Rhinolophus ferrumequinum: one gene and its partners. The protein of the gene in region 3 interacts with the protein of the main gene of each other region in a biochemical or structural test. Links are inferred from orthologs where the notes say so. Each region holds a gene or a part of one and is shown on either strand. Other genes may lie near its edges.

The links. The genes of interacting proteins can lie anywhere in the genome.
Region 1: the proteins of ARFIP2 (region 3) and ARF5 form a complex in vitro, tested with the Homo sapiens proteins (2 studies listed by BioGRID). The link is inferred for Rhinolophus ferrumequinum from reciprocal best matches to the Homo sapiens genes ARFIP2 and ARF5.
Region 2: the proteins of ARFIP2 (region 3) and ARF6 form a complex in vitro, tested with the Homo sapiens proteins (2 studies listed by BioGRID). The link is inferred for Rhinolophus ferrumequinum from reciprocal best matches to the Homo sapiens genes ARFIP2 and ARF6.

What each region holds. Positions count from the first base shown.
Region 1 is NC_046309.1:18,178,318-18,189,127, forward strand, and holds ARF5 (ADP-ribosylation factor 5), read right to left. Parts: upstream 4,471-10,810; 5' UTR 4,343-4,470; coding exon 4,276-4,342; intron 3,761-4,275; coding exon 3,680-3,760; intron 3,352-3,679; coding exon 3,242-3,351; intron 2,781-3,241; coding exon 2,709-2,780; intron 2,173-2,708; coding exon 2,047-2,172; intron 1,937-2,046; coding exon 1,850-1,936; 3' UTR 1,449-1,849; downstream 1-1,448. Other genes in the region: GCC1 (GRIP and coiled-coil domain-containing protein 1), read left to right, coding at 7,467-8,498, 9,363-10,658.
Region 2 is NC_046289.1:42,164,702-42,174,636, forward strand, and holds ARF6 (ADP-ribosylation factor 6), read right to left. Parts: upstream 4,327-9,935; intron 4,227-4,326; 5' UTR 4,186-4,226; coding exon of another isoform or gene 3,770-4,185; 5' UTR 3,741-3,769; coding exon 3,213-3,740; 3' UTR 501-3,212; downstream 1-500. Other genes in the region: collagen alpha-1(I) chain, read right to left, coding at 3,770-4,185, 4,327-4,519. UniProt on the Homo sapiens protein: GTP-binding protein involved in protein trafficking that regulates endocytic recycling and cytoskeleton remodeling. GTP-bound form plays an important role in the transport of multiple palmitoylated proteins form the Golgi to the plasma membrane.
Region 3 is NC_046294.1:45,322,558-45,333,385, forward strand, and holds the start of ARFIP2 (arfaptin-2), read left to right. Parts: upstream 1-6,951; 5' UTR 6,952-7,089; intron 7,090-7,854; 5' UTR 7,855-7,896; coding exon 7,897-7,995; intron 7,996-8,241; coding exon 8,242-8,338; coding exon of another isoform or gene 8,339-8,343; intron 8,344-8,999; coding exon of another isoform or gene 9,000-9,046; coding exon 9,047-9,165; intron 9,166-9,334; coding exon 9,335-9,556; intron 9,557-10,101; coding exon 10,102-10,259; intron 10,260-10,405; coding exon 10,406-10,580; intron 10,581-10,728; coding exon of another isoform or gene 10,729-10,828. Other genes in the region: TIMM10B (mitochondrial import inner membrane translocase subunit Tim10 B), read right to left, coding at 6,095-6,271, 6,457-6,552, 6,753-6,791. UniProt on the Homo sapiens protein: Plays a role in constitutive metalloproteinase (MMP) secretion from the trans Golgi network. May have important functions during vesicle biogenesis at certain cargo subdomains, which could be predominantly utilized by secreted MMPs, such as MMP7 and MMP2.

The DNA.
Region 1 (10,810 bases), on a different chromosome or scaffold from region 3:
GGGACCGGAATCAGGCCCAAGTACCCAGATGTTCCCAGGGGGGCTTTCCAGGCAGAGGCTGGCCTAGGGCGCAGCACCTCTGTGACCCGGAGGGCATTGTGACTGTGAGGGGTGCCTCTCACCCGTGGGGAAAGGGCACTGGCCCAGCAGCATCAATCCATGGCCCAGAGGAAGCGTGTGCAGGCCTCCTGTAGGAGCCTCCCCACCCCACTCCAGGCACCCCGGTGGGCTGAGCGGACTGAGCATCAGAGGTTTAGCCGGTGCCGGTGACCACCTGTGACTTCAGGCAAGTCCCTCCCCTTCTCCACCTCTGTTTCTTTTAATCACAGGATAGAAATCAACCCCTTTTCTCCCAGGAAGTAGGTTCTGCCTGGCTCTCTTGGGGCTCAAGTGTTTTTGGAGTTCATGATATCCAAGAAAAAGCTATTGATTTTTATGGCCCTTGGGAGGATAAAGCCACAATGTCTCAGAAGGTACTTTTCAGGGAGAGTGAGGAAACCCTGGCTAGATAACCAGCAAGGATCAAATTTCCCATTATTAATCAAGAAGGACTGGCTCAGTGGCAGGGTGGAGAATGGTCCAGGTGGGGAGAGTCCTGTGCACCCTCGTCCTAACCCCCAGCTGCATCCCGGCTGCACACACAGTCAGAGCTGCCTCTCAGGATACCAGCCCAGGTCCCAGTCTGCTGGCCGTTAGCCTCTGGACTCACTTCCTACAAAGCTCATGGAGAAAACCAGCCCACAACCTGGAGAAACTGCCATGAAAAAAGGGAGAAAGGCAGAAAGAAATAATGGTGTTGATGGTGGGTTTCAAGCTTTGCTGGGATGCAAAGGGAAATGGGCAGTGAACCAGGCTCGGAGAATTGCCCAGACTGGTTCCTAGTCCCTGTGGCAGGGTCTTCCCAGGTAGGAAGTCCCAGTGATACACAATGAGGGACTGTAATCCCCGGTTTTATAAAATAAGGCTACTCGACAGAACCACCTGGCTGATTTTAAAGATGCATATTCTTGGGCCTCAGACCAGTCCTGATGAGTCACTTTTTCTCAAGTGTGCTTCAGGAACCTTCTTTTTAATGAATATTCTCTCACCCTCAAATTTTAATGTGCATCGTAATCACTAAGGACCACGGCTACTTAGGAGGTGAATACGAATGGGAGTTAAGTAGTTTATAGAAGCACGAAGGTAGATCCTCATGCAAAGGAAGGTTACTCTCAGCAAAGGCCCCTTGAAATTGGGGAAGGAATGGGATTCCCTACACTGGAACCCCTGAAATATTTGCAGCCTCAAGGATAAGGAGGGAGAAGCTAAGCTAGACGAAGGTAGCAATGTGTGTGTGTATGCTTGGGGAGAGGGGGGTTGGCCCTGCAGGCTGCTTTGAGCCTCCCCCATATTGTCTCTTTGCACCCAATAACCCAGCGCCCCATTTCTAGGCTACAGACAACACCGTGTACAAACCACAGCAAATTTATTACTCAATATCCAGTGCCACATCATAGCACCACCTGGAGCCCTCACTTTCCCTCCCCACTTAGCCCAAGGGTACACCCAAAATGGAAAAAACAAAAGTGAACCCAGATCCCTGCTCCTCCTCTGGAAGAAGGGGCCCCGGCCCTGGAAGTCCCTTCCACAGGTCCCAGCAGGCAGGAGAGTAGACCCCTCCGTGCCCGGAGAGCAAGGCTCCAGGCTCCAGCGACAGAGAGAACATGCAGGCAGGAGGGGCAGGAGCAGAGACCTGTGTCTGTGGGAGGAGGAGCAGGAGGGAGGAGCACTGCCTGAGGAGTCCGGGAGTCTGGGCATCCCGGGGATGCACGCGGGAGCTTCCGGGCAGCAGGGGCTGGCCCCTGCTTGCTTAGCGCTTTGACAGCTCATGGGACAGCCAGTCCAGCCCATCATACAGGCCTGTGCCTTGGGTGGCACAGGTGGCCTGGACGTACCACTGTGGGGCGAAAGAAAGAAAGAGGTCAGTAGCAGGGAACAAAAAGGGAGGGGGGTGCCTTTACTTCCTGCCCCAGCCTGTGGCTCCCTTGGGAGAGGCGAGACCCTCACCGTACGGCTTCGCAAGTGCTGCAGGCCCAGCTTGTCGGTCAGCTCGCTCACTGGCATGGCGTTGGGCATGTCCTGCTTGTTGGCAAACACCAGCAGCACCGCATCCCGCAGCTCGTCCTCCTGCAGCTGAGAGAGGCCAAGGGAGTAGAATCTGGGGTCCTTTGGGGTCTCCAGACTCCCTCTTTCCCACTGTGTAGGGGAGCCCCCTTTTCCCACCTTCTAGCATATTTGTGGGAAAAATATAACATCGTGTAGTCGCCCGCTGAACACAGGACATAGTTATAAGTCAGCTGGAGACCATTTTGGCGTTAAGTCCAGAAAGGACCTTTTTCTAATTTGTTCTAGTACTTGTTCTAGTCAAAATGACAAAATTTCCCAATGGAAAAACAAGAAGGTACGATGATGTTTATCTCCACCGCATATAACTTCCCTCTCCCCAACTTCTCAGACTCAGATGTGAAGACATGAGAATTCAAGGAAAAAGTCAATCCTATACTTTTTACCTGACCCAAACTCAAAACAGGGTGAGATTCTCCATGTACCTGTGTCCACCAAGAGCACTGTACATTCAAGGCCCATGAGGCATTTCCTGACATTCACACCAGCACAGCGACCTCTGTTTCCAAGCTAAGGGCTCAGTTCCCAGGGCCCTGGGTGCTCACCATTTTCTGGAGTTCATCAGCAGATTCCTGGACCCGCTCTCGGTCATTACTGTCCACCACGAAGATGAGGCCCTGGGTGGGAAGGAAGGAAGGAGGAGCAATCACTCCCACCTGGGACATACCCGAGTCTGGCTTTCTCTCTTTAATTGTGTCTAAACCCTTCTCATCTAGTAAACTTCCACTAAGGCTCTGCAGACATCCTGGCACAAAGTGGTGACACCCTGCAAAGGATACATACAGCTTCTGCCCTCAGACAAGCAGTCTAGATAGAAGACATGCATGGGAACAGGGAGACATGTGATGAGAGCTAACTCAGCCTGGACCCAGAACCCTGCTTCTCAGAAGATGCCAAAGGTGGCTGAGTCTCAGAAGACGAAGGCCAGTTCTGAAGGATGAGTAGAGGCTTACCTTACAAAAGGGGGGTTAGGGAGGGGTAAGGCTTTTTCCTGGCCCAGGGGCCCAGCCTAGGCCAACAATTTTCCTAATGCTATCACCTCCTCCCCTGGGGTTGGGGAGACACCCTCGCCCCCCACCTGAGTGTTCTGGAAGTAGTGCCGCCACAGAGGTCGAATCTTGTCCTGGCCTCCCACGTCCCAGACTGTGAAACAGATGTTCTTGTATTCCACTGTTTCCACATTGAAGCCTGAAGATAATTGGAAAAAAATATGAGGAAAAAGTCGTGATTGGAAGGAACTCACTAAACTACAGTGCATTCAGCAGGGACACAAATCAGAAGGCAATGATCAAGGTCTAAGGGAAGAGAAGTCCAGAAGACTGGCAGTCAACTGGCAGGGCGGGGCTAGGTCACATCCACCCCTCCTCACACCATCCAGCAGGTAAAGATAATGTGACCCACTTCTCAGGTAGCTGTATCTGGTGTCAGGTCCCAGCACGGAGACGCAGAATGAGGAGGAGACCCTGAGCTGGCCGCCACGCTCCAGCTCCTCCCAATCTCACCTCCTCTGACTCACCTATGGTGGGGATGGTGGTGACAATCTCCCCCAACTTCAATTTGTACAGGATTGTGGTCTTGCCAGCTGCATCCAAGCCAACTGCAAAGAAGAGGGGCATAGGGATGGAGATGGGAGCGAGGGAGCCCCCTAGAGACCAGGGAAGGGGAGAGGCCAGGACAGCTGACGGTGACAGGGGCGGAGAGCCCGAGAGCTTCCAGGTGCGCGCTGTTATCTACCTTCCGGGCCTTAAGGGCAGTCCGGGTGATGAGCGCCAACTGCTGCCCCTGAAGCGGGCGAGGACTGGGGGTGTAAGGGGTACAGGAGGAGGACCGCGCTCCTTTTAAAAGTGGCCTCCAAGGGCGGAATCCTCCCTTCTTACCATCCGGGCTGGGGCGGAGGGAGCGTCACCCCACCCAGGCCCGCAGCTCCCGGTTTCAGGCCCCGGGAGCGGCGCTGCAGACTGTGACCCGCCCGAGAGCAGTGGCCCCAGGGGTTTAGAAGGTGGGTGACTCAGAGTCAGAAAGCGGGGTGAGCTGGCCTGGAGGGACGCGGGGGCGGGAGGGCTGCGCGGGGGCCGGCGCTCCCGTCCGGGCCGCGCGCTTGATCTGCCTCACCCATAAGGATCCGCATCTGCTTCTTCCCGAAGATCCGCGAAAAGAGCGCGGACACGGTGAGGCCCATGGCGGGGCCCGGGGAGGGGGCACGGACACGGACACCGGGTGCAGGCTGGAACCGGCCGGCCGCGGGGGGATGGGGCGCAGCAGCAGTGGGAGGTGCCGCCACCGCCTCCGCGCGTCGCGGCCCGCCCTACGTCACGGCGGGCCCGCCCCCATCGCGCTCCGCTCCTAGCTCCGCCCCCCGCCCCGCCCCGCGCCTCGGGCTCCGGGAGAAGCCGAAGCTGAGCGAATCTCCGCAGCCTGGCTGGGTCCCGCGCCGGTTTTAAAGAGGGAAAGGGCCAGGGTCTCCCCGTTTCTAGCACGCCTGGCACATCTGTGGCTGTTGAACCGGCAGTCAGAGGGGGGCGGAGGAAAGCCTTCAGTGCTCCGCAGCGGCCCCCACCCCCATGTTCCGTGGCCCGCCGCAGGGCTTTGGTTTGTTGCGTCCAGCTCACTCTGGTCTCCGGTTTAGTTCTTTCTAACTGGCAGCCTCGACTGTGTGCACCACCCTCTTAGAGGTGCGTAAGCTCCGTGCAGTCGTCTTAAGACCTCCCTTTTGCCCCCGCAGCTCCCAGTGAGGGAGGGGCTTGGAGCACAGTAGGTGGTTCAGGAACCGTAGACTCGCCCGGGTGTGCAAGGAAGCAAAGCTTTTCAGTCTGGACCCAGACAGCCTTTCTGAAGTCCTTCCTCTCTTTGCCACAGACCTGGCAGCCTGCATTATTAATGCACACCTATCCAGGATGTGAGGATGTGGTTGCCTCCTTAGGCCCGAAGAGCTTCTCCAGTAATTTCCCCATTCATCTTAGCGTTGGAGGGGAAAGAGCCAGATTGGAATTCATTTAAGTATCTTCTATGGCAAAAACTGGATCATGCCAGGCTTATGCTTAACAAATGCTTGTTAGGTTGAACTGGACTGGTAGGTTGCTCAGTGGAGCGTGGACAGGTGTTTTGCCTGTTCTGGAGCCAAGTTGCTTATGGACTGGACATGGTGAGGTGAGCTGGGAAGCAGAGAACCTTCATTCACTCAGTCAACAAATATTGAATGCCTACTGTATGCCATTGTTCCAGGCCTCCGTTCAAATCTCAGTTCTGCCTTTTTTTGAAGGCTTGCCTTCAACAATCCTCTCAAGCTGTCATTTTCTTATCTATAAAAAGAGACTGATATTTGTCCTATCTCATGAGGTTATGGTAAAGATTAAAATGATGAGATACTGTATCTGAATGTTTTGTATAAAACAGCTGGATGTTTCCTGGGCCACTAAGAAACTGGGTCTGAACAGAGCTCCAGGGCCTGCCCCATCCAGACCTGCAAGTCTGTAAAGAGAACAGACTTTGGGCATCAGGTATGAGTGCATGACTTTACTCTTCAATCACACTTGCATTCCTAGGATGACTTTTACAAGGTCGAAGAATACATTTAAAAGAGTCCCAATATAATAACACAACTAGCGATGAACAAGTCAGGTCAGTTCTACATCTTCAGCTCTTTTATTAGCCTCTTTCTTTCTATCACTGTTGTCACCGCCATATTTCAGTACCATCTCTTCTCCATGACTGCAACAGTCTCCTCACAGTTCTCCTGCCCCTTGCTATTGCCACCCTGGCATACAAGTCTTGATGACACCACTCTTGTGATTAAAATCCTTTAGTGTCTTCTTATCACCAAAGATAAAATCTAATGCCTTAATTTGGATCCCTACCTCCTAGGCCAGCCCCGTCTGTTGCCACCTCCTTCACATACCCTAAACTACTGCCTCGAGATGCTTCTCAATGCTTTCCAGGTGAGCCAGCCTCCCTGATGCCACAGGAGTCCTCGTAATCTTTTCCCTCTGCCTGGAATGCTTGTTTCCCTGATCTCTAGTTAGATGGGTAGTCACTACTCATCCTTCACATCCCAAAGTATTTTCTCTGAGAGCCTTCTCTGCCTCCCCTAGACAGGACTTCCTCCACATCACTTTGAATATACTTATGCATACCGGTACGATGGCAGGACTTGTGTTTGCATGCCTGGTTCTTCACTAGATGGGAACTCCGTGAGGGCAGGACCTTGTCTCATCATAGTGATCACCTGGCACAGCATTTGGTATGTTGAGAGTTGGATTGATCTGGATAGCATCCCTAAACTTAGCTGTGCGACCTTGGGCATGTTACTTACGTCTCTGTGCTTCATGTTTCCATATCTGTAAAACAGTGCTGACAATACCCACTGAGCAGAATTATTGTAATGACTACATACCAAAACTCTTGCAAAGCTCCTGGAATATAGTTGGCACTAAAGACCGACGTCCTGGCCATACGGATGCCCTTTACAAACATTTGTTGCATTAACTCAGCAGAACTCAGGAAGGGTGCTAATAATTATTATACTATACGCCTTCCAGGTGCCAAACACTGTACTAGCAAGGGTTGCAGTGTTCGTGGTTTGAATGAGAGTCTTAATTGTTGCTCTTTAGGGACAAAGGTACTGAGCTCCCAAATAGTGGAGACACGTCGCGAGCTGTTCAGTAAGGACTCAGTGCGACGTCGCCCCCTGTCCCTCGCTGATCGTAGCCTGAAGGCAAGCTCGGGTGAACCTCACGAAATCAACATCACTCGCGTCCTTAGCTTGGCTTGTGCTGCTCTTCCCGGGGAGAGAAAGCCTCGCCAGGTTCCCCACAGGCCGCGGCCGAGCACTCCCCGGCTGGGGTGGCCCCGCGCTCCTCTGGCCACTGGGGCGGAGCCTGCGGCGTCTTGCTGTCGTCACTTCCAGCGGACCCGGAAGCGCCCTTGTCGGGCCGCTGTAGTTCGGAAGTCGCGAAGGGGCTGCGCTCCGCTTAAACCCCTGGCGGACAGTGGGCCGAGGTCCCGCAGGGGCTGCTGTGGCCGGCGCGGGCGGGAGCGCGGGGCAGCTTCTGGGACAGGGCGGGGGCGCCCTGGCTGTGTGCTCCCCTCTTGCCCGCGTCACCCCGCCTCTAGGTGGGAACCGCCCCCGCCTTCCGTACCCCGGACCCGGTGGCGCTTCTGCCCGCTGCCCCGCCTCCCCGCGTCGGTCTCGGACAACTGGGAGGAGCGGGTGTGCGGCCGCGGGGACCACAACGCCCGCCAGCGTCCCCGCGACCGTCTCCCGGGCTGCCCCAACGCTGACGTGGAACCACCCGTTCTGAATCCTCATGGAGAAGTTTGGAATGAATTTCGGGGGTGGCCCCAGCAAAAAGGACCTGCTGGAGACCATTGAGACGCAGAAGAAGCAGCTCTTCCAGTACCAGGCACGTCTCAAGGATGTGGTTCGCGCCTATAAAAGCTTACTGAAAGAGAAAGAGGCGCTAGAGGCCAGCATCAAGGTGCTGTCAGTATCCCAAGAGGCGGATGTGGGCCTGGCAGATGGCCCGCCTCCAGGCCTCACCTGTCCTGACAACGTGGATGACCGATGCTCCACTCACAGCGAGGATAGCACTGGGACCGCCACTAGCTTGGATACTGTCGCCAGTCTCACTAGCACCAAGGGTGAGTTTGGGGTAGAAGATGACCGACTGGCCCGTGGACCACCACCTCCAAAGTCGGAAGAGGCCAGCGGGTCGGAGAGTGGTGTTAGCAGTAGCAGTGGGGATGGACCGTCTGCAGGTGGGGAGGTGGACAAACGATTGCACCAGCTGAAGACTCAGTTGGCTACTTTGACCAGCGCTTTGGCTACAGTCACCCAGGAGAAGTCCCGCATGGAAGCTTCTTACCTGGCTGACAAGAAGAAGATGAAACAGGACTTAGAGGATGCCAGTAAAAAGGCAGAGGAAGAGAGGGGCCGTCTGGAGGGAGAATTGAAGGGGCTGCAGGAGCAGATAGCGGAAACCAAAGCCCGACTTATCACACAGCAGCACGATCGGGCCCAGGAGCAGAGTGACCATGCCTTGATGCTGCGTGAGCTTCAGAAACTGCTGCAGGAGGAGAGGACCCAGCGCCAAGACTTGGAGCTTCGGTTGGAAGAGACCCGAGAAGCCCTGGCAGGGCGGGCATACGCAGCTGGTCAGATGGAAGGGTTTGAACTGCAGACCCGACAGCTGACCCGTGAGGTGGAGGAGCTCAAAGGTCAGCTGCAGGCTCTCCAGGATGAGAAGAATCAGCCAGACCCCCGGCTGCAGCAGCTGCAGGAAGAAGCTGCCTGCCTTAAGAGCCATTTCCAGGCTCAGTTGCAGCAGGAAATGAGGAAGGTAATTATCTCCATCTCCTTCAAAAAGTCATTTAAACCTGAAATGGGAAATATTTGTTTTTCCGCCTTTGATAGATCTCAGTGGCTGCACTGTCAATTTTTGATGCAAAATGTTTTATTGGTGAGTTGGAAATTCTGTTCTATGTGGTGTTGACAGTATCCACAGAGCATGTTTCCAACAGGATGTAGAGTTTCTAAGTGTAGGCTGGGTTGGAGCCAGACAGATCTAGCATTGGCATCTTACCCGCTGTGCTCTGCGAAGCAGTACTGTGGCAGACATGCAGTGAAAAGGTCGTGTGTCTGACTGGAGCTGTATGCCTATGTGTAGGTAGTGGTATATGCCTATAGGAAGGATGGCTGAAGGGGGAAAAGGGAGTTTTCTCAGAGGAAATGACCTTTTGTAACGGCTTTCAGCCAAGATTTTGCCAACTCTGGAAAGGTATTCTATTTTTATAGTGCCTCCATTCAGTGTGGAGAGAGGTCCAACTCAGTTTTGATCTTCCAGGAATATTGGAAGAGATGATTCCATAATAAGATTTGGGGAAACACATGATAAATGAAGAAAGCACTCTTTATACGTGAGTTTGGTGTATGATAGGAGACAATGGAAGTACGAAACCAGAATAGGAGCAGGTATGCAGAGGTTCTTAATTGTTTGGTATAACATGTGTCTGTGAGCAGAACGCAAGCAAGTTACAGGAACTTTTGTTAGCTCCCAGATCAACCAAAAAATCCCCAGTTCCCGTTCTTGCCAGGCCATCCCCATTCTGTGACTCTTTGGCTGTCCTCTCTGGTGCTCTCAAAGTTTGCCATAGCGCTTTGTGGCGTTTCTGGATGCATTTCCATCTGTTTCCTTGTTTTACAGGCAGCCCTCGCAGAGGATCAACGACGTCAGCAATCTCAGCTGGAAGAGCAGAGGGTGGCAGCCCTGGAGAACCAAATATCTGAGGTGTCGGAACTGCTGGGCACATATGAGAAAGCCAAGCAGAAGGACCAGCTGGCCATCCAGAAGCTGAAGGAGCGCATCATGCAGCTGGACCTGGAGAACAAGACGCTGGCTCTCGCAGCCTCCAGCCGGTCCCCTCTAGACAGCCATGGAGAGGAGTCCAGTCTGGACGTCAATGTCCTGAAGGACAAGATGGAGAAGCTGAAGAGGCTACTGCAGGTGGCGACCAGGAAAAGCCAGGTGACCTTGGATGTGGAGAAGCTCTGCGACCTGGAGATAATGCCCAGCTCTGAGGCCGCTGACGGGGAGAAGGCTACCGTGCTCTACTACCAACAGGAGCTGAAACAGCTGAAGGAAGAGTTTGAGAGGTACAAGGTGAGGGCCCAGGTCGTCCTCAAGAGCAAGAACAGCAAAGACGGCAACCTGGCCAAGGAGCTGGAGGAAGCCCAGGAACAGCTTGCAGAGCTCAAGGAGAAGTATATTTCCCTGCGTCTGTCCTGCGAGGAGCTTGAGCGCCAACACCAGCAGGAGGCCGAGGACTGGAAGCAGGAGCTGGCCCGGCTACAGCATCACCACCGGCAGGAGCTGGAGCGGAGCCAGCTGGAATTCAGGGACCGCACGCTGAAACTGGAGGAGGAACTGCACAGGCAGCGCGACCGGGCGCTGGCCGTGCTGGCCGAGAAGGACCTGGAGCTGGAGCAACTGCGCTCCGTGGCCTTGTCCTCCGGGCTGCCGGGACGCAGAAGCCCTGTGGGTGGCGGAGGTCCTGGGGACCCGGCCGAGGTCACTTCCTCGGAGAGCCTGACCCAAGCCCTGCAACTAGCTGCGGCCAACGAGCCTACTTTCTTCCTGTACGCTGAGCAGTTGGCCCGCAAGGAGGTGGAGATCACGTTGCTGAGGAAACAGAAACACAGGCTGGAGGTCGAGGTCCGTCAGCTGCAGGAGCGGCTGCTGGAGGAGGGCGAGCGGCATCGTGAGGAGGTCGGGGTCCTGCAGAGCCACATTGAAAAGAACTTCAGGGACCAGAGCCGGGAGGGAGCCAACCTCGAGTACCTCAAAAACATCATCTACCGCTTCCTGACCTTGCCCGACAGCCTGGGCCGCCAGCAGACACTCACAGCCATCCTGACTATCTTGCATTTCAGTCCCGAGGAGAAACAAGTGATCATGCGGCTCCCCCCCAGTGGGAGCTGGTGGCCTTCTGGCAAGAGATGATGCCGTTTTCACTGCCTGGAAATTTCTGTGCCTCTTCTGTGGGAAGGGACAGGTTCTGGTTTCTACTGCCCCTTCTCTTAATCTTTTCTTTCTTCACTGTGTTGAACTGGGAGGAGTCTTCAACGTAGGGTGGGATTTTCTGCCAAATGCCA
Region 2 (9,935 bases), on a different chromosome or scaffold from region 3:
ATTCAGCTACTATTTTACTTTCTAAATGTCTACAATTCTGCCATTCTTATCAGATAAGCAACTTTGGCTTCTAAAAGTCTAACATCCAAGTCAATTGCCAAGGGTCAAGATGATTCTTTAGGCCAATTCTTTATAGACAAAATTCTGTACTCCTAAAAATTCTGAGGTTGTGATTTTGCACACACACACACACACACACAAAACTAGCATAATAAAAACTGCTATAGAACCTTAATTTTTAAAAATTATTTTCAATTGTTTTAAAAATTATTTTCAACTGTCGTAATGTACTAGATTATCATATTGTCTGGTGGAACTAAATTAGGGCAAAACCTTTTAGAGTCAGCATTACAAGAACCAAATTGATTCTTTTTATCCTTATAAAAGCTAGGTGACGTTCAAATTATGCCACTTTATACCATATATCCCTGGAGAATATGGCCCAACACACCACATGTCCCACTTAATCTAGTTCAAACGAGTAATATAACGTGAGAAACTGCACTGTGTAATTCCTTTATTTTCTTCATATTAGTTCTTTACCAACACTACAACCATTAAGAGCACAATTCCAAGTACTGTACTTTTTAGTTCGGGGCAATCACAGTCTACAGACTCATTTACTTATATTAGACAAGATTAACCTCATTCAAAACTTACTGCAGTTTATAAATTCACATAAATACAGAAATTGATGCAATTAAACAAAAACTTCAGGATCTCATGTTTCAAATTCTTAGACTCTAACTTTTCCAGCAGGCTGTAATTACCTGCCCCATGATCATCAATGGCTATGGTTCAATTTAACTACATCAATTATCAGCCTTTTATATCCTTGAAGAGAACGTTAAGTGAAAATTACAATTTCTTACCAAGTTTTAGGGTTTTCCAAATTTCAATGTTTCCCCCCCATTCCCCCTTTCAGTTAGACATTTCGAATAAACTAATAACCACATCTCACCTGCAACATTCAATAGCAATCACTTGATGTATAAAATTTTAATTATGCCCCCAGTTATTAAGACACAAAAAAAGGCTGCCTATCAATCTGTCACAAGTTAGAAATACTACATTTAAGAATTAACACGAGGGTTTCAAGTTTCCTCCAGTTTAGGCATTTATACCTTTGTGCTTGTCTTGTTTCAGGATGTTATAGCATTGATAATATTTGTATTACCCATGTATGTACCTTAAAATGTAAAACACTAAGAAATTTATAATGGAACTATGGGAATTTTAAAAGCAACTAAAATGTTCTTAAGATGTGTCTGTCAACTTCATTTCTAGAGATACATCTACTAAAGTGAAACAGAGATCTTTATACTTTAGTTACATTTTTAATTCAAAAATCTCTCTACACCATCAGGAGCCTATGTCATAGCACCTTTGCTCATCTGCTTTAAGTAAAATGTCGAATTTTACTTTGAATAGTTAATTTTTTTTATCACCTTATGTTTCCCATACATCTTTGGTAAAAGCTCCATTATACGATATGGCCAAAGCATGATGGACCAATACTGTCCAACTATATACCATGATATCCCGCTCAATTTTAGTTGTCAGACACCCTCATAAAACCCACATCTTTTCCTGTATACTGCCTTTACATTTCTGAAATTCCCTAAGTTTAATTCCTTGAGGATCTCTAAAATTAATCCTTAAGGCTACATAAGAACCAGATGCTGCTTCACAATTTTCTATCAGGCATTAACATTTGGTTCAAAGTATCATTTATCATAGTGGTCTCAATAATCTAGTTACCAGTCCTAACCAGTTCAGCAAGTAATCTTGTTCGGATCTGGTATCAGTGAGCACACTGCTTATCCTTGAAGAAAAATAATTTTACATTCATTGTCATCTGTAAGTTCTTTTTCTTCATCCAATGTCCCCTTTGTCATTCCTTAAGTCTACACACATTCATTCATCACATTTCCTTCCTTAAAGAAGATAGTATATTACTGAACCAACAGGATATCTGACTTACTATTTGCATGAGTTAATTCTACAATCAAACAGAATTAAATACTTTTATAAAACTCTTCCAGTGTTCTAATTCATGGAGGTGTGGATCACTAAACTATAAAAAGAAAGACTTTATCTTCAATCAGTTGCTGTAATGTGAAAACAGGAATGTGTGTATTTCCAACTAGGTAAAAGGTGCATATAAAATTTGAATTGTTAAATGTTTCATTAATGAACAAAGTAAACATTCTAGTAATTTAAAAACTATTGGTCTTAGACATTGAAACATGGTAAAAGTATATATTCCAGTTTTGCCCAAGTCACTTAAAATATCTACAAATATTTTGACTGTGTGTGGGTGGATACACCATTATTGCTCCATTTTCTGGAAAGTCTTTTTAAAGTTAGAAAAGAGGGAAAACACAGCAAAATTGCTAACTTTGCAGTGACAAAAATCTGTGTCCTTAGACGGGTTACAATTTTATATTTTTATGCAGCGTTAAGTTAGCTATGTAATGGGGAACTTGAGTTTTATCCCTACTCATGCATGATGTATGTTTCAGAATTTAATAGCTGACATTTCAAAGAACTTCTTATATTACCTGTTTAACATACTGATGTGCAACTGGAACATATTACAATATTACTCACTTGCCACTGTGGGCTGAGTTTTCTATACTGGTCTTAGATATAAAAGGTCACATTTGAAATTACTAAGTTAAAGTTGTAACTCATAAGGGAGGGGGGAAAGGCCTTAAATATAAAAGACAAACGGCAGTTTGATTAAGCAATAATTTTCAGTTTACTAGATGAAACAGACTTGCAACATAGTCTGCATGAATGCAAAATAAGCCATCTACAGCAAGTGATAAGGAAACTGGGCAAAAAGGAAAAAAGCATACATTGGAAGGAAAGATTCTGTCAAAATAAAAAAATCATACCATTATTATAAAGGACTTTACCAAGAACTGCTATATTTCCCCCATCCCATTTGCTGGAAGTCAACAAGAGCATCTAGCACTTTGTGTTCATGTCAAATATCAGATCAGAGCATCCTACCGCAAAGCAAAAAAAAAAAGAAAAAAGAAACAAAAAGGAAATCCCTAATCCCCCCCAAACTGTAGAAGAGCAACTCCAGAGTTCAAATTCAAAAGAAGAGAAAGTGGCAATTGAAAGAGGTGATGGTGGAGATAATCCTATGAATGGGTTTTTGATTTCTCTCCTTCCGGGGGATGGGTGGAGAACACTCATTAAGATTTGTAGTTAGAGGTTAACCATGTGAGCCCCTCATAGAGTCCATCCCCTGAGGTGGCACAGGAGGGCTGCACATACCAGTTCCTGTCCCGAATCCGGGTCAGGCCCAGTTTCTCCTGGATCTCGTGGGGTTTCATGGCATCAGGCAGGTCCTGCTTGTTGGCGAAGATGAGGATTATGGCGTCCCTCATCTCCCGGTCATTGATAATGCGGTGCAGCTCCTGGCGGGCCTCGTCGATGCGGTCGCGGTCGGCGCAGTCCACCACGAAGATCAGACCCTGGGTCCCGGTGTAGTAATGCCGCCAGAGCGGCCGGATCTTGTCCTGGCCGCCCACATCCCACACGTTGAACTTGACGTTTTTATAAGTCACCGTCTCCACGTTGAAACCCACGGTGGGGATGGTGGTCACTGACTGGCCCAGCTTCAACTTGTACAGGATTGTTGTCTTGCCGGCCGCGTCCAGGCCCAACATGAGGATCCGCATTTCCTTGTTCCCGAAGATCTTGGATAGCACCTTCCCCATCGCGTCGGAGGAGCCGGGGCCGGGGGCATTCAGGTGTCCCAAGTCCCCTCTGCCAACAACGCCGCCGCCGCGAAACCGAAACGAAGCCTCCCAGCCGCGAGGGCGCCCGTGAGGCCTGCGTGGGAGTTGCCTCCTCGGGACAGAGGCCCGGGCCCACCGCTCACTCGGGCATCACCGACCACACAACTTGATTTCTCCAGTCGCCGCTGCCGCCGGGGCCCTGAGTCTACGCCGGGAGAGCCGCCGCCCTGCTGAGGCGAGGCGCGGCCCGGCCCGGAACTGCCCTTCCCCCCGCGAGCGCCGCGCGAGCGCCGCTGCGATTCCCGCTCCTCCGCCTTCTCCTCACTCAGCCGCGGGAGACTGCGACCCTGTGGCCCGCCCGCCGGTCCGCGAACGCCGGGCTCACCACCGACCCAGGCCACCCGAGGCAGCGAGGCTCCGGCGCCTCGTCAGGTCATTGATCCTCGCGGGAACTCGGTGCGCTGCCTGCAGAGACACAGAGAGGGAAAAGGGAATTACAGCCGGAGCTCCAGAGGGGAGCGGTGGTCCAGGTGGCCTGCCTTTCCAGCTCGGCCCGGGAGGTTACCTCCAGCCGCCGCCCCGAGCGCGGGCTCCCTCCGGCCTCCACCGCCTCCTCCCAGCTCTGCCGCCGCCGCCACCGGAAAAGGCGCCGAGGAAACCGCCTCACTTCCCCTCCCGAGCACGCAGGCGCAGCACAGGCCGACCGTTCGGACAAGAGCGACCTCTGTAAGGAGAGCGGCCCGCGCGCCAAGCGTCATTGGCGCCACGAGCAGAGGGGGCGGGGCTACGGCGGCTCGGGAGGGCCTGCAGGTGCGGCCAGCCCCCGGCCCGAGTCTCGCGCGGACTCGGACTCTTGCCCGCTTGTGGCTATTCTAGCGTCTCCTCCCTTTTTTGCTGTCTTCCGCGCTTTCTCCTCCAACACCTCTCGAACCGGAGAAGCAAAAACCCCAGGGAGCTGCCCAGGGCGCGGCCCGCGGGCAGCCCGCTCGCACGCCGAACGCCTCCCTCATGCTGCTGCCAGGTGTCTTCTCAGAACTCGCTGCCTGCCAGATCCGCTGAGAATTCCCTCCATCCCGTCCCAACCTTCGCGCTCACTCGGGCTCCCAGGGAAGCCCTATCCGCTGCTTTTACCTTCCCCCCACCTCTCCTTGGCTTTCTTTATTCCTCGTGCTCTGTGGGTTTCCTGCAAGACACGTGGGAGACAACTGTTTCGTATGGAATCTGCCAGTCAATGCGGTGCTTTTACCGGCTTGGGTTTGCTCTGAAGCCCTTTGAGTATTTGAGCCTTTATACATCTCGTCAGGACCAGCCCACGTTTCTTAAAAATTATAGTATTATCAAGAGTTCCTGTACCTTGCCGCACTTTAAACTTTTTAGAAGGTGATAACTTTTCGTATGTAAATATCTCCTCCTTTTAGTGTATTAGTAGCTGCTTATCCACCCACCCATTCTTTAAGAGGCATGGACGATATAATCTTAGCATACGATTTAGAATCAGGTAGAGACTACTTCTGTGGCCTGGATCTAGGCATTTAACCTTGCGAAGTTTGTTATGTGTAAACAGTGTAATACTGGCTTTGCTCTCTCCACCCCATTTGAGGGTTAAATAATATTTGTGGAAGACTTTAGGAAACCTTTTTATATCATAGTGATAAAGAGGCTTAAAATGAGGTGAAAGCTTAAAATAAATGAACCAAGGGGAGGAAAAACGAAATTTTTTTAAAGGAAGATGGTAAAATGGCATATGGTAACATACTTTTTATTTAAGAAAATACTTATAATTTAAGTATTTAACATAATTTAATAAAATTTGATAATGGTAGATCATGCCTGAAATAAACTTACTGTGTTTATTTCCGGCAGTTATTACCACGTTTCCCGGAAAATAAGACCTAACCGGACAATTAGCTCTAATGAGTCTTTTGGAGCAAAAATTAATATAAGACCCAGTCTTATTTTACTTATAAGACCGGGTCTATATAATATAATACCATGACTGGGTCTTACATTAATTTTCGCTCCAAAAGATGCATTAGAGCTGATTGTCGGGCTAGATCTTATTTTCGGGGAAACAGTAATATTCAGACAATGATTTAATATACTTTCTCTGTTAATATGGTCGCTTTACACTTGAGTAAACTGGGCTTTCCAAGAGTCTAAATGGCTTTCCCAAGGCCTCACAGCAACTGACTGATAGGGAGGCAGCTAGATTCAGAGTCCTGTGCTATAGAGCCCAAGCCACAGAGCTATACTTCTCTAGGAAGAGACCCCTAGCAAGGAGCCTCCCATTCCTTCCATCTACTTGTGGATGGTCCTCCTGGACGTTTGCCCTGGTGATTTTGCTCTCAGCTGAGGCAAACAGGAAGACCAAACCCTGCCTTTCTCCTGTGTCCTAGCATCCAGAATGGTCAAATGGACGCTTGCTTGGGGATGGAAATATTACCTATGTCTCTGTCGCCCCCACCTGCCCCAAAGGAGAACTTCACAGGACCACAGCCCTTGGAGAGCACCCCAAGGCCAGTGCCCGCTGGAAAAGAGGATCAGGAGCAGTACTTCCCAAAGCATCCACGAACAAGGAACAGAGTGTCATTATTTTTTTTAACTTCCAATCTGTGGGGGACTAATGCTTTTTGTAAAATGCAATAAAAATGAATTAGTAAAAAAAAAATGAAATGCTGCTCTAACGATGTGACCATGTCAAATCGCTATAAAAGCTTACTCTCAAGCTCTCAGTAAGTACTTCCTGTACCCATCTTCATATGGACAGGCAACCAATAGCATGGGTCCAGGGACCACACTTGGAATAGCACTGGTCCAAACGGCCACTGGGCAAAAGACTGGCCTGAGGTCACATTCCCTGGGGCATGGCCTCAGCAGAGGGCAAGGACTTCTATGCCATTCTGAGACTTGGGTCCTGCTGCTGACTTGGGGTGCAGCTCTGGGCGTCCAGCTGGAGCAGGGGGGTAAATTAGGCCTCAGAGACAGTGCCCAGAAGTCAGGCTCTGGCCTCTGCCCTCCCAGTCTATGAGACAGACCTGCAGGAAGGCTGATGCTATCCAAGCCAAGGAGGCCTCTGGAGACACAGCTCCTTCCCCTGACAAGCTGGGAAGTAGGGGGCAGGGGCTTGTAACCTGATGTGGAGGCAAGGATGAAGGACACCCTGGGTGTGATCCCAAAATTGGACAGCCACATCACCTCGCCACTCTGAGCTTCCTCTTCCACAAACGTAGAAAAGGAGAGTGTTGTATGCTCTCTGAGTCCCTTGTAAATATAACATGCTGGGCTTGTCCAGGAAGATAGATCCACTGCCTGCCCTTACGGAGGGGAAGCAAGGCTAATGCACTGCCAAGAGGACAAATCAGACTGAGCACAATGGAAATGGGCATTAGTTGTGCATTGTAGGTTGCCCTCAGGACTTCTTCAGGGATAAGGAGAATCCAGGGCTGGAGAGACTAGAAAAGGACGAGAGAGCAAATATCCATTTGGGTCAATTTAATTGCTGAGATTGGACATCAAGCCTAGCACTGTTTCTCAGCAACGAAGGCAGAGAAGCAAGTATGTTAAGTCACAGAGAACCTGTTATTATAAAAGAGGCATGGCTACCAATTCCCCAGAGGATACAAACTTTCTCCTGGCCCTAAATTTTAAGAGTTTTTCACAGGCCACCTTATTTAGGGGACAGTAAGGACATAGCAGCTTCCACAAGTTTTATGACAAAAGCAGAAGTAGTTTTCATGTGGCTGTTTCTTCCAACAACCTTGGAGGAAAGCCAAGGGCACACCAGATATAGCACAGTGGCTCAGCAACGTTCTTAGTTTTTAGACAAGAAATGAACTTGAGCATATTAGAAGTCAAATGTGCTAAGTACATTACACAGGAGACAAGACCATATTAAAGTGCACTTGGTTTCCTCTTGGCTGGGTCCCTGGTGAACACAAAAACATGCCTTTCCTTTCCCATGTGTGGACTGACTCGCTCACCTCTGGGCCGACAGTGGACACCCACGCCTGCCTGATTCCCCCACCCTGGTTCAGGGGCACTCATATGAAAAGGCCAATTTAGCCATTCCTATGATTAGCCACTGTAGGGCAGCACCGAACAAGAATCCGGAACACTTAAAAATTTCCTTTGTAAGCAAAGCCATCCGCATGTATATGCAATTCTACCAGTCTACTAATTCAAAAATCCAATATTCAGCTGCTTTCACAAATATTTCAAAGGTGTAAAAATAAAAATGCTACTTCAATAATAGGAATTATTTCTCAGATTCTCGTTAATTTTTTTAAGTGTCAATCTTTTATGAGAGCAAAGAAATGCTAACAGTTTTTGAAAAGAAACTGTGCTAAATGTTTCACATGTACCATTTCATTTAATCTTACAAGAACTCTGTAAGGTAGCGTCATTATCCCCACCATGCATATAAAAAAACACGCAACTCAAGTGCTTTGCCTAAGGTCACACAGCCCTATTTAGTGGCAGAGTGGGATTTGAATGAACTCAGACATTCTGACACAGACGACTTAACCTTGCATCCCAAAAGACATTTGGGGTCTCACGGCTGCAAGAGGTCTCTGGTTCACACTCCTTCCGAAGCAGACATTATCTTCCCCATCCTAGCCTCAGCCCGATGCCCAGCAAAGCTTTCCCTTGCTTTTCTTACTTTGAGCTAAAACTGTCTCAAAGTTGACCAGAGTTCTTCCCTCCAGAGCTACTTGGAATAAGTTGAGTTTCTCTTCCATATAAAGCCCCTCCAATTTTTGAAAAATTAACAATAGCGTTAATTGTTCCTCTCCACCCCTATTGCAGGAACGGGGTCATTATCCCAATTTACAAATATGTTCCATCCCTTTCCTACTGGTTAATGAAAGTGCTAGAATCTTCTGACACAGAAGTTTCACAACAGATCAGTAACCTTAACTCACTAACCAGCACCTGAGACCACGATGCCATTACTAAACCAGACTTAAAAGCTATTGAAAGTAATGCATGATCATGGTTTTTAAAAATCCAAGCAATATGGAAAAAGATAAACTGAAATGGAAAAAAAATCTCTCTCCCATCCTGACTAACCCCTTGCCTCAGAGGTAATCACTGTTGTTACTGTTGCATCCTTCCAGAATTTTTCTTTACACAGATAAACATATGCAGGTGAATCTTTTAGGATTATATTATGTATACTAGTCTGCAACTTGCCTTTTGCACTTGGCAAGTTATCCCATATATCTTTCAGTAGTAGCATTCCTGTTAATGGCTGCATGAAACCTTCCTCTCATGCTCATTTTTTTGCCTCTTACAAATAATGCTTCAGTAAAATCGTACATATATTTCTGGATGGATTCCTATAAGTGAAATTTCTGGGTGGAAAGTAAGAGCATTTAACATTCTGAGATAGAACCCAATTACACTTCTTAAAAAGTTGTAATAATTTACACTCACAGCAACAGTCCATTTTCCAAGTGTTGTCAACATGGCTTATTATCCAATCGTTAAATCTTCCTTCAGTACTTGAAGACAGTTCTTCAGTCATTCAATGTTTAGTATGCACCTTCTACTTGTCAAGCACTGTGGGAAGAGCAAGGTTTGCTCGAATCCAGTAATTCCCAGCCCTAACCATCACACTCTTCAGGAGTTTGTTAAATTGCAGATTCCCAGCCAGCCACCTCCCAGGAGGTGCTGGTTCAGTGGCCTGTGGAGGAGCCCAGGAAGCTGTTTTGTTATAGTTTGTGTCATTCTTTTTTTGTTTTTTTTTAAATCAGATTTCTAGGTGACTGAGCTAGATGATAAGCAGCCAAAAGTAGAGAAAATATTTTCACTTCTTCCTCTGGGCAAAAACGCTTTCTGGAAATGAAGGTCTTAGGAACAGTCTGGATCCACTTCTCTGGTTGTCACACAGCAGCCTAGCAGACTGTCCCCCCGTCTTTTCTTAAGGAAAGAATAGTCTGAGACTGTGCATCTCTGGGACTGTATATTTCTCTCTATTTAGTCTCCAAAAGAGGGTTTGCGGCCAATGATGAATAAGATTCCCCACGGAGGTGGGGGGGGCAGAACCCCATGGAGAGCCCTGATCCAAGCCAGGCAGAACCCCATGGAGACCCCCGATGAGCTCCCTTAAAAAGATTTGGGAAGAGGCTTTGTCTCTCCTTCCCCCTGCCTGGGAAAAGCGGCTGCTGGCTC
Region 3 (10,828 bases):
TGTCTGGATTGAAAACCTGACGCCACCACTTACTAGTTGTGGGATATTTTATCTGTTTCATTTTTTGTAAAATATAAAATAATAATAGTATCTACCTTATAGGGTTGTTGGGAGGATTAAATGAGTTAATGTATATAAAGCCCTCAGAATAGAGCCTGGTAGATAATAAGTACTTGATGTAATTGAAATGTGTTAGCTACCGGTATGTATATTTGTTGTTCAGGGCACTCGACCAAGTGCTGTTGACATAATGGTGAACAAGCCATAACAGGGTTCAATGAGGGCATAAATAAGGGCATGGGCAACCCTCCCTGGGAAGGACAAAAGAGAGTCACAGAGTCACAGTGGGCCTTAAAATTTAAGGCCTTAAAACAATAGTTTTCCAGACAAATAAAGGGAATTCTGTTTAGTAAACTCAACTGAGCTCTCAACACTGCCTAAAAATCTATGGTTTTTTTTCCCAGTTCACTCTTCCATTCTGTGCAAAGACTATTTCAAACATCCTGCACTCTCTCATGTTCCATTTTCTTCTACTTTGCTCTATGATGATAACTTCACTTCCTATTAAAAAGAAAAACAAAATCAATCAGGGTTCTCCAGAGAAACAGAACCAATAGGATACAGGTCTATATCCATAAAGAGATTTATTTTAAGGAATTGGTTCACATGATTGTGGGGGCTGGCAAGTCCAAAATCTGAAGGATAGGGCTGCATGCTAGAAACTCAGGCAGGAGTTAATGCTGTAGTCTTGAGGCACAATTTCTTCTCAGGGAAATCTGTTTTTGCTCTTAAGGCCTTCAATTGTTTGGATGAAGCCCACCCACATTATCGAGGGTAATTTTCTTAAAGTGAATTAATTGTAGATGTTAACCACATCTATAAAAATACTTTCACAACAACATCTTGATTAGTGTTTAAGTAACTGGGTAAAACCATCATACATGCTATTTAAAAGGAACTCTCTCATTACTCCGAAACCATATAAAAAAATACTTAGATCTGCTTTTATCCATTCCTCCCTCCTTCCTGTTACCAATAAAAGGTATGCCCCCTCTCTCTAAAGTCGCGCTCTAGACCTTTGCTCTGGAACTATTCTCTCGCCTTCATTCACCCAACAAATATTTATTGAGCATCAACTATTTTGGACACTACTTTAGGTGTTTGGTTCCATCAGTGTACAAAACAACATTGGCAAAAACACCTGATTTATGGAGCTTATATTCTAGTGGGGGACACAAATAATAAAAATGAATAAACTATATAACATGTGATAGTGCTATGGAAAAAAAAAACAGAGCAGAGATTAAATGTAGATTCACTTCTGTCTCTTTTAATTAAAAACCTTTCTCTTGTTATGTAAATAGTAGATTGAGCAGGGAGGCTATTGAAAGATGTTCATTCAACAAATATTTATCGAACACATATTATGTGCCAGGCACTGTGATAAGGATACAATGGTGAGCAATACAAACAAGGACCCTGACCTCATGAGCAACTGTTAGAAGTGCTAATGCCAAAAACAAGAAGAATTATGGGAGCCAGAGTCTGCAAAGAATTGAGGAGAGTATTTGCACTAAGTACTCAAGAATGAGTAGTTCAGTAGGTAAAGTAGTGGGAAAGCATTGCAAGGCAAGAAGCAGCAAGTGCAAAGGCCTGGAGATGGGACAATGTATGACAGGTTGAAGGAATCCAAAGGCCAGTGGGGTCAGAACAGAGGCAGAGTGAGGTGTGGTTCAGTTCAATACAGTACTAATAGCCCAGTGTCTGAGTCACTAACAAGATAAAGCTGAGGTAGGCAGGAGCTGGATCATGCAGGGCCTGGTAGGGCTTGTGTAGAATGTCAAGCTTTTATCTTATGAGTGCGAAGCTATTGCAAAGTTTTAGGCATCGGTTTGTGTTTTCTGGCTTAAGAATGGAGAACAGATTGGAGGGGTGCAAAAATGGGTATAGGGAGAAGCAGCAATTGCAATAATCCTGGTGAAAGACTATGAAGATGGAGAGGAGACAAAATCTAAAGGGGTATTTAGAGATGTAAACTGTAAAGATTTCACAATTGAGTGACGGAAGGAGTGAGGTTTCCAGCTTCTGCAATTGGATGAGTACTAGGTGTAGGAGGAAAGTTTATGAGGAAACATGTTGAATTGGGTGTGTTTTTGAGATCCCTAAATGGAGATGTCAATCAAATAGCTTGGAGGAGAGATCTGGGAGTCATCCGTAACTAAAGCTCAGAGTGGTGAAGAAACAATACTAGAAAAAACAGACTGAGAAAGAGCAGAAACTAGAGAAACTTAGATTTAAAAGTTGGAGGTGGGGAGGCCTGCAGAGGAGGCTAAGCTACAGCCAGAGGTAGTAGTAAAAGTATGAGTGGAATCGCAGCCGCCAGTGGAAGACTATCGATGATGAGGAACTATTAGTAGTTAATAGTACGAGAGGCTACTGAGAAGGGAAGTAAGCCTGGACTTGATTCAGGGATATGAAGGCCATATCCTCAGTAAGCCAGGGTGACCTCAGTTAAGAACCATTTCAACAAAATAAAGCTTCCAGAAGTCAAAACAGGTCGGGTAGAAGAATGGGATGGAGAGGGCCAAAGTATCCAACTGTTTTGAGTTTAGCTGTAAAGTAGAAAAAAATTAGGATAGCTGGGGGCAGGGGTGAGGTACAGAGTGGTTTGTTCTATCAGGAGAGTCTTTTTTTTTTAAAAAAAGATTTTATTGGGGAAGGGGAACAGGACTTTGTTGGGGAACAGTGTTTACTTCCAGGATTTTTTTCCAAGTCAAGTTGTTGTCCTTTCAATCGTAGCTGTGGAGGGCACAGTTCAGCTCCAGGTCCAGTTGCCGTTGTTAGTTGCAGGGGGCGCAGCCCACCATCCCTTGCGGGAGTCCATCCGGCAACCTTGTGGTTGAGAGCCTGTGCTCCAACCGAGCCATCAGTGGCAGCTCAGCTCAAGGTGCTGTGTTCAATCTTAGTTGCAGGGGCGGAGCCCACTGTCCCTTGTGGGACTCAAGGAGTCAAACCGGCAACCTTGTGGTTGAGAGCCCACTGGCCCATGTGGGAATTGAACCAGCAGCCTTCGGTGTTAGGAGCACGGAGCTCCAACCGCCTGAGCCACCGGGCTGGCCCAGGAGAGTCTTTAGCAAGTTTAAACACTGACGAGAATTTAGTAAAGTGGGGAAAAATCAGAGATTCTAAAGGAAGGAAGAACTAAGATTCAGAGCAAAGGAATAGGCCTTAAGAGTAATAGGCCTTAAAAGTAATCACTACAGGAGAGGAAGAGAATGATGCAGATGTGGATGCGTGACCCAAGTTTGGTGGCCAGATGTTGTGAGAATTCCCAACTGACAACTTTTACTTTTGTCTATGAAGAAAGATATGATTATCTGCAAGAAGTGAAGAGAATGGTGTGTGTGTGTGGGGGGGGTAAGCTAATAAGAGACTTAAGAATATTGGTTTGAAATACTCATTTCAGCAAGCAGGGAGACGACTAGAAAAATCCAGTAGGATTATAGGGGCTGAGGCTCTACTTGAAGCTGGTAACCATGGATTCAGTGATATAAATCTGATCTGTAGTGATGTCCTTGGGCGGCTTTTAGTTCTCCAAATGCAAGTACAAAAGTTTCATTTTATCTAAGAGTCAAAAAAAGAGAGATGAGTTAAGCAAATGCAGCTTATTCCAAGAGGATCAGTAGAATTTAAGCCAAATAGGAATCTAAAGACAGGAAGGTGTTAATGGAGAGAAGGTAGAAGCAATGACCTAACTGCTCCAGTGAAATCAAAGACAGTAGAGGAATAGTTCCATAAATAAAGTGGGAAGAATATGGTAGATGAATAAGATGCAAGTAATAGTGTTTTGGAGATACAGCAGTGTGAGGCGAAGACAATGGCTAGGACACAACCATGGGAACGGGTGGCTAAGAGAATGAAAATCATTGGCGATTGGGTCAAAAGCTAAGAGACCAAAATACTGAATGGAGTGCCCATGTAAACATTAAGTATCGACGGGTAGATACGAAGACCAAGGGCTGGCTATTTAGTGGAAAGTAGAAGAGCAGTAGTTTCTAAGGACAAGTAGAGACGGTGGTACACTTGAATAGCCTCAAAGGAATCAGACTTTGCAAAGGAGTAGGCAATTATATTCTGAAGCCACCTGGCAGGAAAACCAACCCTAGAAAGGCAAAAAGCTGATTGGAGTTACTTTTCTCAATAGGTAAGTGTGCGTAAGATATGCTTCTAGTATCTTCTGGATTCTTGCTTCCTCATCTGTTAAGTGGGGATAATACCTTTTACTTGTAGTTTTTTCATAAAGATTAACTAAGATGAAGCATGACATATACCAACATCAGAACCTGTACAAAGTGGGGGCTCAATAGATATTATTTTGTGAGGTAAACTGGTATAGCAAAAAAAGTAAAAAACAAACAAACATGGATTTTAAAGGCAGATCGGTATTTTAATACAATGTCTGCTCATAGAGAATTTCAACTTCCCGATCTGTACAGGGAGAAAACGTGTGCTTTGAGGGTGACTGTAAGAAGTTATTTTTATTATTGTGGGTGCCAATTATCTATGAGCTTCCATTTCCTCTGTAAAAAATGAAAGGACATGGTCACCTGATGGGAGATAGCGGAGGGTGAGATGGGGGATTAAGGAGAGCAGTGAAGGTGTAAATAACTGCCTTGGTGATTAAGGAGAGCAAATAGACCGGAACCCACAAGGATTGCTTATTGGTAGTAAGAGCTTGGTTGAAGTTGGAGACCTTTAATATTTAGTCGCATTTATTATACAGCTGTGTTTTTCTCTAGCAATTTGAATGGAGGAACAGAAAAGATTAAACAGCTGGAACGATACAAAAAGGACACAAGGGCAGCAAGAAAATGGGGTGATGGAATGATAGGCCATTTATACTGCTGAATGCAGAAGTAAATTCCACAAGGGGGCAATAATGAGGAAAGAATGGATAGACTGGAATTAGATAGAAATCACAGAACAGGCACAGTGGGAACAACATGGGGTAGAGGGTAGAAGAGCTGGAATTAGAAGATTATAGATAAGCACTGAGACATTAAGGTAACATTAAAGAGCCTGAAGATTTAATTTTATCCCTTTTTTTCCCCATAATCACTACCATCTACTTCTCCCTTGGGTTTCTCTTCCTCAAGTCTGACAGTATTGCAGAATTCGGCCTAAGTTTTCCCCTTTCTTACTGCCCCTGAAGACAAGCACACAGACCTTCTTTGCTTAAAGGTTTTACTGCTCATTCAGGAAGACAGGAAATAGTGAGAAAGTAACAACTTGGGGAAATGGCTGAAGTTCCAGAACACCCCTGAATTCTTACAGGTTTCATCTCTGTCCTGGAGCTACTGATTTCCCAGTAGGTAGTGCCTAAAAACCCTGTGATTTCTTGATCTACTGTCCTTAGACATCTCCTCCTTTCCCTAAATCTGGCAGAATTCCTTCCTGTAAAACACAGTCCACAAGAAAATAGCTATAAATGAATGCACACCTGGCTCACAAGTGAGCCATTAAAGTCAGATTTATGTGAAGAAGAGCTAGACAGAGCTCCCATTTTCTCTGTCATCTGGGCAGGAACCAATTTCCCGTTGCTATTACCAACCTTAAAATTGTACCCACAGACCTTGCTTTAACCAGGTGCCTGGGAATGCTAAGGTTTGCGTCCATACAAAGAAGGCACTTTCTCTGCAGACAGGGCTAAAGCCAGCAGATATTCACTAACTGACAGAATAAAAGATGATGCTAATAAAGTAGGCAAAGCTTCCCTGCCCAAAATATAAACCAAACAGAATAAAAGCAGGTTTATTAACTCTTCCTGGAGCCACAGTACCCAGCTCTCAGGCAAGCCCTCACTTTCTATATACAGGCTGGACCCAGCCCAAGCAAGGTCCCTGGAAAGGGGTTCATCTCCTGATGGGGAGAAACACATGGGTGGGGATAAGCTTCAGGAGAACACAGTCTTTGTCTCGTTCACTGCTGTGTTGCATGGCCTCAAATAGTGCATGACACATAGTAGGCACTCAGTCCACTGGCTCCTTCAATTTGAGGGGCCATCCAGTGCCTCCCTTCCTGGGGTTGGGGATGGCTAGCTGCCTGATGGCGAGGTTCCAGGCTGTTCAGGAGCAACACCTGGCACAGCTGAGGCAGCCTCGTAGTCTGCGATGCGGCGCTGTACCAGGGCAGGCATGAGCTGCACATAAGCAGCCATGAGGCGATGGTTGGAATGGATCAGCTTCCCAGCACAGCTATGCAGACAGGCTTCCTGGAAGGAAGACAGGGTGGAAACAGGGGCCAAAGGTGTCCTGTCAGATCCGTTTCCTTCCTTCCCATCTCCAACCTAGGGGCGAGGGACATGGAAAGGCCCTGGCCAAAGGCAGTGGAGGAAGGAAGGAAGCAGATTACGGTTAACTCTGAGGATGAAGAGTAATCCCCTACTCGGTCCCCCACCTCCTCGGCATCCAGGGCTCGGTGGTGCAGGCTGGGTACGCAGCGCTGGAAGCAGAGTTCCGTCATCCGATTGTAGACCAACAGGAAGTCCCGCAACTAGGAGAGAAGGGGACCAAGAACTCAGCTATAAGGGGGCCCACACCTGAATTCAAGGCCGCGCCTTGAAGTTTACCAGGACCGCGCACCACAGCCCGATGTCCCTAGCCCTCGGATCCCTAGCTTTTTGGGGTTCCCGCCATGCAGACGGCGAGGACAGTTGAATGTAGGGCTTTGAAGCCACATGAGCTGCCACTCACGTTTCTCAGCTGCTGCTGCTGCTGCTGCTGCTGCTCCATCCCGCCACAAGCTCACGTCCTGCGTCACTTCCGTTACAGCTTCTCGGTAACGCCCCGGAAGTTATCTGTCGTCCATCCCCAGGGACTGAGGGGTTGACTCAAGGATCGTCCTGCCCCCGGCTGCTAACGTCACCTCCGCCCTTATAATCTGCGACGTGGCTGGCTTCTTCTGCCCGGGAGAGGACGTCACTTCCTCCGAGTCCCTGACCTGCTGCTAGGATCGCGACGGGAGCTGGAGCCCGAGGTCCCCCCGCGGCCCGGGCCTGGCGCCCTGAGGGGAAGAGCGGCCTGTCCTCAGGTGAGAGGGCCATACTTGGGCAAGGGGAAGTTGAATGCATGAACCTGTCTTGAGGGCAAGATACCTCTGAGCCTGGGAAAGGATGAGGACACACCTGATGCCCAGGTGTATTGGGGTGGGGGGTGGGGGAAACACACCTAGGGAAACATAACCGACTTTGGAAGCCATCACCTATGTCCTGGGGAAAAGAGGCTTTCCCAGAGGCTGGGAACATAAACCAACTGAATCAACTAAGGCCTGGTGGGAAGAGCCCGAGGAAGAGAAGGTGCATGGTATGGAGAAGGGGGGAACGGTCTGAAGGAAAGGGGAAGAAACACTAAAGGGGTGTTGAAAGGCTAAGCGATGGAGAACATACTGAGCCTTGGAAAGGGGTTCATCTCCTGATGGGGAGAAACACCTGGGTGGGGGTGAGCTTCAGGAGAACACAGTCTTTGTCTGGTTCACTGCTGTGTTGCACGGCCTCAAATAGTGCATGACACATAGTAGGCACTCATTAAATGTCTGTTGAATGATCGAATGCATGAATAATCATCGGAGTCCTGGTGAAGTTGGAGAGTCATGAGAAGACACCTGAGCATGTGTAAAAATATGCACCTTGGAGGGAAGAGGTACATATACTCGCACTATCTGAGGGAAGGAGTGGTAGCCACACTCCAGAACACTCTACCCCTGGGACAACCTCTAAAACCTCAGAAACGGTAGGGGAGACATTTCTCTTCTGTGGTCCTGGCCAATTTCCAGAACTATCTGTGTTGGGCTTTGCAGGGCGCTGGGGTGGAGACATTGACTCCAGTCCCTTCCCTAGCCATGACGGACGGGATCCTAGGGAAGGCAGCTACAATGGAGATCCCCATCCATGGGAACGGCGAAGCTGGGCAGCTTCCTGAGGATGATGGGCTGGAACAGGTGCATCTGTTTGATTCTTCTCCTTATTGTTCAATTTAGGAATCCCAACTCATAAACCCTGGCCTATTCCAGTAGCCTTTCCTAACTTATCTAACTCCCTTCTTTTTACAAATTTTTGTTCTGATTCTGTGCAGACTTCCTTTGTGTGCTCTCTCTGTGATGCTTCAATCCAAGTTTGTTCTCACCCCCAAAATGCTTCAGCTGTCCCTATGTTCCTGAAGCCCCCCCCTCTTCTCTGGCCTATAGGACCTCCAGCAGGTGATGGTGTCAGGACCCAACCTCAATGAAACTAGCATTGTGTCTGGTGGCTATGGGGGCTCTGGTGATGGACTCATCCCCACAGGTATGAATGATCAGAACAGGACAGGAAGCTTGAGTGGAGAAGGGGAGAGGAATGGTTCTGGGGAGCATAGGATATGTGTAAGAAAGCTTGAGTTACCTCTGGAGATCTTGGAAACCTCTGCTAGTGTGAATCCTGTGGACTGTCTCAGCCCAAGACCAGTTCCCAGGGTTGTTCAACTGCCTCTACTTGCCATTTCCCTTGAGATGTGCCATTTCTCTGCTGCTACCACCTAAGTCAAGTTAAGAACTCTGTGCTCTGGAGCTTGGGCTGATTTGGAGATTTATGAGGCTTTTCAGAGTTTTACTTTAGACTCTAAAGTTTAGAGGGACAAGCAGCCCTGAATCTCACACGGACTAGGGTTCCACATGGGAATGTCAACTAGGTTGCCTGTTATCAGGACCCACCATCCTTGACCTCCCGCCCCACACTCATCTTATTTTCTTGTTTCCTCTGCCCCTGTACACCAGCAGCTCCCTCTTCCCTCCCCCTCCAACCCCACCACCACCTCAGAAGGAGGCCAGATGTTTTTGGGATTTGGGTCTCAGGGCACAAGGTATGAGCTGCTCCTAGTAAGTAGGAGAATCTGTCTCCAGCTTCTGCTCCCTCAGGGAAGTCATGTTCAGGTGCTGGGAAGGAAGTATGGGTGGAGCCCCAGAGGCGTCTGGTTGTATCTGAGAGAGGCTAGAGTCAGAGAACTTGGTCCTTTAGGGTCTGGCCGCCATCCATCTCACAGTGCCACTCCTGCTGGCTCCGGAGATGAGGTGGCTCGGGGCATCGCTGGAGAGAAGTTTGACATCGTCAAGAAATGGGGCATCAACACATACAAGGTGGGCTTCAAGCAGCTCTCCCTTCCCCCAAACTCCCTCTGGGTACCTTTTGGCCTTCTCCCAGATCCTAATAGTCCATCTATATTCCAGCCTGGGTATGCTGGGGTAGATACCTGTTCGGGGAGCAGGGTGCTAGGGTCTCTGACCTATTCCCCCACTTCCCAATCAGTGCACAAAGCAGCTGTTATCAGAGCGATTTGGCCGAGGCTCCCGGACTGTGGACCTGGAGCTAGAGCTGCAGATTGAGTTGCTGCGTGAGACGAAGCGCAAGTATGAGAGTGTCCTGCAGCTGGGCCGGGCACTGACAGCCCACCTCTACAGCCTGCTGCAGACCCAGCATGCACTAGGTGACGCCTTTGCTGACCTCAGCCAGAAGTCCCCAGAGCTTCAGGTGCCTCAGCCAGGCCAAAGAAAGTTGGGGGGGACTGGGCCCAGGCCCTCCCAGGCAGTCACCCCTCAGCCTCCCTCCCTCCATCCCTCCTGCAGCCCAGAGGGAGAATCCCTCCAGGGTGAGCCCAGCCCTGTCCCCAGCAGCACTCACCTGTGGAGGCAGCCTAAGGGTTTGTACGGAGGTCCAAAGTCGGAGGGGCAGGGGGCGGGGGCACACTAGGTGCCTCACAAGTAACCCTTCTCTGCATTGGCGAGAATGCCTTTGGTGCTCAGCCTAATCAGAGCTTCTCCCTTGCCTGCTGCACTGGCTTTCCTTGTTCTAGTCCTGTGAACTTATCTGAGAACCTCACCCCCACATTCCCACCCCAGGCATCCCCAGGGTGGCCCCACTAACTTTCTGGCTAAGAAAGCCTTGCTGGAGGCAGTCCTTGGTTGTTTCAGTTTTGATGACTGCTTCCTTCCTGGGGAAAAGGGGACTAAAGGGCCCTACAGCTCCAGTCAGGTAGGGACTATTTCTCAAGGCCTGTCCCTCCTTTCTACCCTCAGGAGGAATTTGGCTACAATGCAGAGACACAGAAGCTGCTGTGCAAGAATGGAGAAACACTGCTAGGGGCTGTGAACTTCTTTGTCTCTAGCATCAACACATTGGTCACCAAAACCATGGAAGACACACTCATGACTGTCAAACAGTATGAGGCTGCCAGGTGTGGGCACTGGCAGGGCCTAGGGTTTTGGGAGTTGGCTGGCTTGGGTGGAAGTTGTGATTAGGGGCATAAGAATTCAGGAAGGAAAGAAGAGAGTGTGTGGAGGACATGGGGGTGGAGATGAGCCTATATAACCCCCTCCCCAGGCTGGAATATGATGCCTACCGAACAGACTTAGAGGAGCTGAGCCTAGGCCCCCGGGATGCAGGGACGCGTGGTCGACTCGAGAGTGCCCAGGCCACTTTCCAGGCCCATCGGGACAAATACGAGAAGCTGCGAGGAGATGTGGCCATCAAGCTCAAGTTCCTGGAAGAAAACAAGGTGCCAGCCCCACCCCTTTGACCTCAGCCCATCTTTCCATCTGTAATACTGACCCTCCCCCAACCTTCCCCATCATTGGCTGGGGAAACGCAGCCTGGCTAAGGAGTGCGATCTTCCCCTAGCCCCCTCAACTCCTGGACTTTTCCAGGTCTCCCTCCCTCTGACTCCTGGCCCTTTTCTGTTGAAGAATTTGGCTGCTGCTCCCAGGATCATAACAGAAAAATCACCCCCTGAGCTGGGGTACCAGA